Linked DNA regions of Drosophila melanogaster. The protein of the gene in region 1 interacts with the protein of each later gene in a pairwise test. Each region holds a gene or a part of one and is shown on either strand. Other genes may lie near its edges.

Region 1 (4,833 bases):
GCCCAGGTAACTGTTCGCAACTACAACAACCTCGAGCTGCAGTTGGGAAACTGGTGCAAGCTTTTCTGCTGCGCTTCAGCTTGCTGCAAGTTTGCAGTTAGTTCTACTGTTGCGTTGTCCGCCGTCGAAGTTGTCGTCGTTGTTTCTTTGGGCTTTGATTTTGCTGCTGCCATAGAGCTGCGCTGCTATGTATGACATTGCTCGTTCACTTTTTTTCTATTTTCTTTTCGCCTCAAATTGGAAATTAACGTGCAACAACTGGGCTATAGGAGCCGAACTGAACAACTGAACAACAACTACACTGGTAACGTGAACGAACAGCCCTTTGTTCTTAAAGTTTTTACAGAAATTAATTAAGTGCCTCTGCTGCAAAGCAGGGGATTTATAGAGATTGTTAGGAAAGTTGCTGCTGCTTTCGCAGTGGCTGCCAGTTTGGTTTGGTTGCTTGTGGTTGGTTGGTTTAGTCTTGTGTCACATGAGCCAAAAGTCTATAAATTTGCAAGAGCCATAAAATTAGCTCGTAAAGTTTTGTTTTTAGTACAGCCCCCCCTGCTCACCATTAGTGTGTCCACATTTATAATGTCACTAATTAAAAAAGCGGATCCCAAGACCTGAAGTAATTTGGTCGAGCATTATTTTATTGCTTCAGATGGGAATCAGTCGAGTGGATTTACGACCCTGGCCAGTGATTAGTGGTATGAGAAACGGGTGCCAGCCAAAGTAACAAGCCTTTAAAGTGCCATGTATTCCCGCTTAATGTGACACTCGAATCGAGTGGCTTCCCCCTTTTTTTTTTTTTTGGATTTTCAATACCCCCCCAATCAATTCCTCGTTTCGGGCACCGCTTATGGCCATCAAAGAGTCATTTATAAACGAAACAGTTTTGTCAAATTTCGACGGATGGCCAATCCCTGCCTTCTAACCGGCGAACCCGCTGACAGCTGCCGCTCATCACTGATGGATGGGCGTTTTGCAGCTTTGGTTAGAAGAATACCGCGACTCGTGGCCTGGCTTTGCCGGCGATTAGAGGTGCTGAAAGGGTTAACCAGGCGATTTGTGATGGAGAAATGTTGGTCGGTAGGGGGGGGTGGCTTTTATCAGCAATCTGTTAGTGTGGCGAACATCATCATCGCCATCCGCATTTGCGGCAACTTCAAAGGCGGCGGCGACATCTTCTGACTGACTGACTGCGTGGTCGGTGTTTGACGTTGAATTTACAAATTACAGCTAATTAAAAGTTGATGAGTCTGCGTGAGTGAAATCAAGCGGCGGCGGGGGAATCTTCCCCAGCCTGATAAGCAAATGAGGAAGTCGGGAAAATTCGTTCGTGAAAAATTGTATTTACTTTGTGCTCACTTTTTCCCCACTCTGCCTACTTGCGCAAGTCATTCGAGTGTTCTGGTTGTCTGGCTGATGTTTATCTGGGGAAACTATGATGGGGCATCCGTTGCACAACATTGTTGGACAGGAAATGTTTTTTTCCATGCGAAATTCGGCCGGCGAAACACGCGGTGTGACACAGCTGCACTTATGTATGTATGTAGCTTATAACCATGCCATCAAATCATAGCTAGTCATATCCTGAACTAATAAAAAAAAATCTCTCCAAAATAAAAAAGACATTTCAAAGCATCGGAAGAAGTTTGCAATAATAATTGCGCAAACATTTGCCATGGCAACTGCTGACAATTCGGTGGCAAGAATTTCATTTTGCCTCGCTCAAAAGTTGGAAAAAGTAAATGCGCCAAATGAAAACATTTCCATGCCGATTTGTGTGGGAAAGAGCAGCGAAAATGATTATGCCAACGATGATGACGTTGACAACGACAACACAACGCAACACAGAAGCAGCAGCAGCAGCAGCATCAGCAGTTAATGTTGCTGTTGCAAGAACCACAATTGCGGAATTGACTTGCCCACACCAGGAGAAAATACTTGAGTGGATATTTGTCATTGTCAACAATCCCGAACCAACAATGAACTCTCTAACTAAGTTAAGAATTTTATGCAATACGTTAATGTGCAATAAACTGTTTGTTTGGGTGCGTATAGATTTTTTTCAGTGCATACCCGCCACAGAACTCTTGCATGTCAGGCACAAATAGCAAAAGAAGTCAGACAGGTAGGTTATCGCCATCGCAGCTTCATAATTAAATATTGTCAGCATGGAGGACGCTGCCTTGTTGCGGCCTGATGATGCAGACGATGCAGATGTGGCAGATGATTCAATTCCTGCTGCCGAGAACGCGTGCAACTTGATGGCCGAGAACAGGAAGTGCGAAAACTATTAGTGGCACTTATTTATTCATTAGAGCCAGTTAGAGACACCCAGCTAGCTGTGCTCCAATTATGCAGATCGTTGCGGCTGGAAGCCCCACAGCTGGGCAGCGATACGATGATTATAATGACTAAGATGAGGACGCATCAGGATGCAGGCACACGCTGCTCATTTCGCTATTTACACATTTGCATAATGACGACGCGATGTCATTGCACTTCGGCTGGTTCAATGTGCGTGATGAGTTATGGGCGGCGTACCACATGCTTACCTGCTTGAGATATCTTTATATGGGGTCTGCGAGGAGCGCGTTTTGGGGCAATCACTGGCTTATCAGCACACACAAATCAGAGCGGATACCGGAATGCTCATAGGACGAAGACACTTTTATGGCTAGATGTTGATTGTATGCAAAGATGATATTTTAAGTAGGGGAACGCTCGGTTCGGTTTTATTTTATTCCTCCGGCTTGCGCCACATGGGAGCTTTTTCCGAAGAACTGCGGCTCCCGCTCCCGCTCCAAAAACACACACACTCACCAACAACGAACACACACACGCCGGGCAATAATAAAAGCGTAAATGCTTATTTATTTGCAAGTCGTTCGCAAAATGCGCTCTTGTATAATTTATGAAGACCGCGCACACGACGTCGACAAGCTCGAGAAATGCGAAATGCTAAATCGAAAACCCGGCAACAAAAAGAAACCGAAATTGGACTTTTTATTTGATATATTCTCCGTTGATGGTCGTTTTTTGGTATCGGTCAGCGAGACCCTCGTAAAAAGTGCCCTTCAAGTCACAGAACCTGATGATTGTCCGGGGTCAGAGGTCAGAGTTTGCGGAGCAACTGCAGTCCATCAATCACAACTGCCGAATGCAGGCCGCCGAGTTTGCAGTTGGCCAACCGATCAAGCGGACCAAAACGACCGATAAATCCGACAGCAGCCGAAACCGAAGCCCAAACTCGATGCGAATTCCGATCCGAACCAAAACTCAGTAGTTCCGCTGCAGCGTGCGTTACGTGCGACGGTCCAACAGCAACTGGCCGAGCATCGACTTGGAGCCGCCTGGCTGAGCCCCCGGGTGGAACCTGTTTCTGGGGTGGACCGCGAGTGTGGATGGTGTTGCGACTCCGGAGTGGAGCAGGCGGCACTTTTGGCGCCAACTTTGGAGAGTTTCGAATGCCGGCTGGCAAAGAGAGAGCCATGGAGAGATGGCCGCAGAGAGCGCCGCCAGCACGTGGTGTGGCGCTAAGTACGGCTTAAGACTTGTATTGCAGGAATGATTCCAGATAAACACTTACGAAAATAAAGTAAAAGATAAAAAACGAAGGTAAATTAATGTTGTAATATGTGTGAATAATAATAAATAATTTTTAAAATGTACTACCTTATGTCTCAGCACATCTTATTATATTAATTCCTATCTTGCTGTATCCTAACCAATATTGTTTGCACATATATACACTTACAGTAACTACTATTTATAGTATATTTACGAATGACTGTAGCAAAACAAACCGCGAGATGTGTGTAGAGTTGGAGAGCGCATGCGCACAGCGAGAGCACAAACTCTGGGGGAAAAGACTCGAGTGGCGGCGACGAAAATAAATGCTACGGAATTGACAGGGGCGGCAGTTGGATTTGGATGAGTTCTTCTGGGGGGGGGGGGGGGAGATGCTTCAGACTGCGGAGAGGGGTGCTGGGACTACGACTGGGGTTAGTCAGCATCTGCTTTGTATCTTGCACGCCGAGTGATAGCTAAAGATACATGCCCATGCCGCCCCTCATCAAGCGGCCTTAAGTGCGCTTGTAGCTGTCTATCAGACAGAAATCACCCCATAGAACGTCGATGATCCGGGAAAAGAAGCCTGACGATCCGCGCAGAAGAGTACTCCTTCCTCGCCAGCAATTTGCAAACCGCAAGTGGCCGAGACGCATCGGAATTCGCTGTCCTCCAGCAACTGAAATCGACAAAATACACACCCCCCTGCCTATCGATCAGTGGTCATCAGCTGTGGAATTTCCTCGGAAATATTTATCTACGCTAATTTCCCTGCTTAACTTGGGCAAGTGCCGGGAAACCGCATCATGGGCTCGCTAGCAATTTTCGCCGCTCGCGTGCCAGCTTGTTGCAACATTGCTGCATTGCAACAGTGCAACAGTGCAACAGTGCACCATTGCAGCATCGCAAAACGCCTTTAACTCCGACTTCCCATAGAAAAGTTAGTTTCGGCTGTCCACTTTTGTCCAAGGGTCCGGAGATGCCTCCTCTTTGTGGCTCTGTGGCGTTTGGTTTATGGTTTATGCGCCGCCGTTTTTGGTCTATTAAAATGATTGCAGTATTTACGTAGCGCTCTTCAGCCATAATTTGTATTTGCTATGCTCATCATCATCATCATCATCATTGCGCAGGGGCCACTCGAAGGCGAAGGCGAAGGCACATCCTCCTGCTCTGCGGTTTTTCCGCCGCCTTCCCCTGCACAGAGGAATGCCCCCGGCATTTGACCCTTACCCAAAGTCTAAGCTCTTCTATTGCTATTGTTTATCTGCA
Region 2 (3,305 bases), on another chromosome or scaffold:
GGTGGGCGGTAAGTGGAAAAGCGGAAAAGCTATTCATTAACCTTTGGCACTTTGTTAATGGATTTAAAGAGTAAGTGATACTAAAAGGTGTGGAATGTGAAGCTTATAACATTTGAAATCGTTGGGAATACTTAAGCTTAACGACATTGGAATACGCATGCTACCAATGAAATCTGCTGGAATACAAGAATACATTTATTGGCTGCAGTTGAGATTGTTTGGCTTCAAATTCAGAATGAACTTTTTAAATTGTGCATTCATTTTTTGTGCGGTACTTACCCTATGCCAAAACATGACCAATTCGAATCAATGGGAATCGGAATTAAAGGCAGTATCCGTATGTGCAACCGAGTGCATCCGGCTCCGGATGCCGTGTGGTTGATGGAAATGCGAGCCTGTTTGCCCAGATACCAGATACGATATATCAGATACCATCTATGTATATAATGCCCGCATGCTCGAAATAAGAGTGCGAGTGTATTTATTTTGCGTATGGCGCGCACTGTACCCTCCACTCGACCAGCAATGCATAAATAAACGAAACCAAATTTGCGAAATTAATTAAATCGACAGAAAAGTAACGTGTGCGCTTTGCGTTTTACGCTTTGACTGTGGCCAGCTTACAACCCAAACAATTTGGCCACCCAGCCACTGAACCACCCAATCCCCCAGCCACCCAACCACCCAACCACACATTTTCCAACTCCGATGGCACCGAAATTGTGAATTGTGCATTGTGCGGATGACGCGACTGTGCATCGCGTTTCTGACAGAGGCCATGGAAACCTGAAATGCAGCGAGCAGGCTTAAAGTTTATTACAATATTACCAGAAATTCTACCAGCGGCTTAAATGGAGCCATTTATCCATTTCGAAAATATCTTTGTCTATAGAGCAAATGAAAATAAGAAATGGAAAAGGGAGCTCCCGATTAATTGAATTGAAATTCATCCTAATCTTTGATATTGATTGAATTATATATTACCAATTAACCAAATTGGCTTTAATCTGTATTAACATTAATACTTATTTAAATTCGCGGCTTAATAAACTATTTTATCCAGCTTTAAGCTTATGGCCGAGTACTTAAGTACTTAGTACACAAATTCACATAAATCAATGAGCTGGGCCATAATTTAGTGCCTGGCACATGAGTATATCAAACGCAATGCTGTGACCCCGCATCCACCTTGCGGCGCACAGGATAATTTCAGCGAGTCAGCCTGTCCTGCGGCTGTATCCGCCTATCTGTACATCGGAGCATCGGCTTAATCTCTGCCGGGAGCAGCGACATCGGCCGGTCCATTGATTTGCATTTGCACAACTCATTAGGGATTCACACTTGAAGCACCACCCGCAGCGCAGACACACACTCACACACTTAAATAATTTAATATTCCGAGTGTTTCGACATCGAAATTTGCACTTCCATGGGCGGCGCTGCGGGCGATTGATAAGGGGCCTCCATGTCGGCCAACTCGCATTATCCAGCTCGATTCAGTCGGCAATTAATGCCACTCCAATTGCCCGATTTGCCTGCACCTACATATCCAGCCATATGGCTGGATTGCGAAAGAATCGCCGGCTCATTAATAACCAAACCCAGTGACATGCATCACTCATACGTCACGTTGGTTAATCCCATCGGCAGATGCAGAAGAAGGATGTGTGATACAGTCTGTCTAATTCCCGTCAATGGATTTGGGCACGCACACGTCCTGTGAATCCGTCACCCACAGCCTGTGTTTGCGGTATCAATCACAATGCTAATACCGATGTTTAGGCCAGATTATGAGGCGGTTTGAAAAAAGGGTTTTTCGGCTGTAAACAAAACATTGTGATTGATGGGTGAGCTATTCAGAACTCAGTGAAAATTTTAATTGACTGCCTTGTATACATGTATAATAACCACTTAATTTTGTAACTTAAAAACGAGAAATGTTGATCTAGCCAGCTAGCTTAAAAAGTCATTAGGCATACGTAAATTTGGTTAACTAAATCACGGCGCCAGCCAATCCCCCAAAGAAATATGGCGAAGAGAAACGTAGCGCCCATTCCCAAAACCCACGAGCGCCCTCCAGGTCCCAGGGGTCAGGATACCAAGGGCAACAACGAGCTCTTCCTGAAGGAGGTCTTCAATACCACCAATAAATATCGGGCAATGCACGGCTGTCCCGCGGTGACCATTAATGCTGCACTAAATAAGCTGGCTCAGGAATGGGCCAATGTAGGATGAGGGATAAAGAGTATTCTATAGTATTTTATATTAATTTGCACCCATTTCCAGCATCTCCGCGATCAGAACACAATGGCGCACAGACCCAATCCCAAGTACGGCGAAAACATTTTCCTCTCCGGTGGAATGGATGTGACCGGTGATCTGCCGGTGGAAATGTGGTATCGGGAAATCAATAGCTACGATTTCAACAAGGCGCAGTTTGTGCCCACCGCTGGACACTTTACTCAGCTCATTTGGAAGTCGTCGGTGGAAATGGGTTCGGGTGTGGCCCGAAAGTGAGTCTTATGGCTATGGCTATGGTAATCCTATTCATACATGTCTTCCAATAGAGCGGATAGAACTTGGGTGGTTTGCAACTACAATCCTCCCGGCAATGTTGTGGGTTTGTTCAAGGATAATGTGCCGCCAAAGCAATAACTCTGGGATTTTTTGATCAAAATTTTAAGCATAATAAAAGCGTAATCTAGGTCCAGTATTTGTTTGTTTTATTTACCATTTTCTATTTTAAATTGTGATGTTTCGATTTTCTAGTTTCCTTGGCATCCAAGTCCGATTTAAGTAGAAGGAATTTTCTAGGCAGGACATTTTCCCTGAAATGTTCGCTTACATTTCCAGGCGGATGGTAATTGCACACAATCCAAATGGAGGAAACACTGCGTGTAAAATGTAGTTAGTTTCGGATTATTTTTAGTATGACTTAAAATTATGAACCCACTCGCATGCCACGCCCACTCCCAGGAACTCTGACTCTCTCCAAACCAACTGGGTAAAATGTCCAGTGTACAAATTAAAGCCTGGCTTTAAGTAATCGTAGTTGTATTTTTCTTGGTACCAGAGTTTCAGTATTTGATCCACGGAGAATTTGGATCTCCGGACACGCATAATATTCTCGCCGTAAAGAGGATTAGGTCGAGTTTCCAGTTTGTTCAGATCAGCCAAATGCTGTGGAAATCAAGTTTAGGTGAAAAAGAAAGGATCTATTTATATTAAATACATCTACATACATCTGCCCACTCCTGTGCATAGGAACAAAGTTTTTCATCCATTTTCAGGGGATTGGCGTTGTG

What was found.
Region 2: the proteins of CG34347 (region 1) and CG4270 interact in a two-hybrid assay, tested with the Drosophila melanogaster proteins (one large-scale study listed by BioGRID).

What each region holds. Positions count from the first base shown.
Region 1 is NT_033777.3:31,309,648-31,314,480, reverse strand, and holds the start of CG34347 (uncharacterized protein), read right to left. Parts: upstream 3,325-4,833; 5' UTR 2,550-3,324; intron 1-2,549.
Region 2 is NT_033779.5:2,261,530-2,264,834, forward strand, and holds CG4270 (uncharacterized protein), read left to right. Parts: upstream 1-1,912; 5' UTR 1,913-2,028; coding exon 2,029-2,226; intron 2,227-2,286; coding exon 2,287-2,513; coding exon of another isoform or gene 2,514-2,517; exon of another isoform or gene 2,518-2,556; intron 2,557-2,567; coding exon 2,568-2,655; 3' UTR 2,656-2,712; downstream 2,713-3,305. Other genes in the region: CG34049 (uncharacterized protein), read right to left, coding at 2,738-2,891, 2,954-3,180, 3,243-3,305.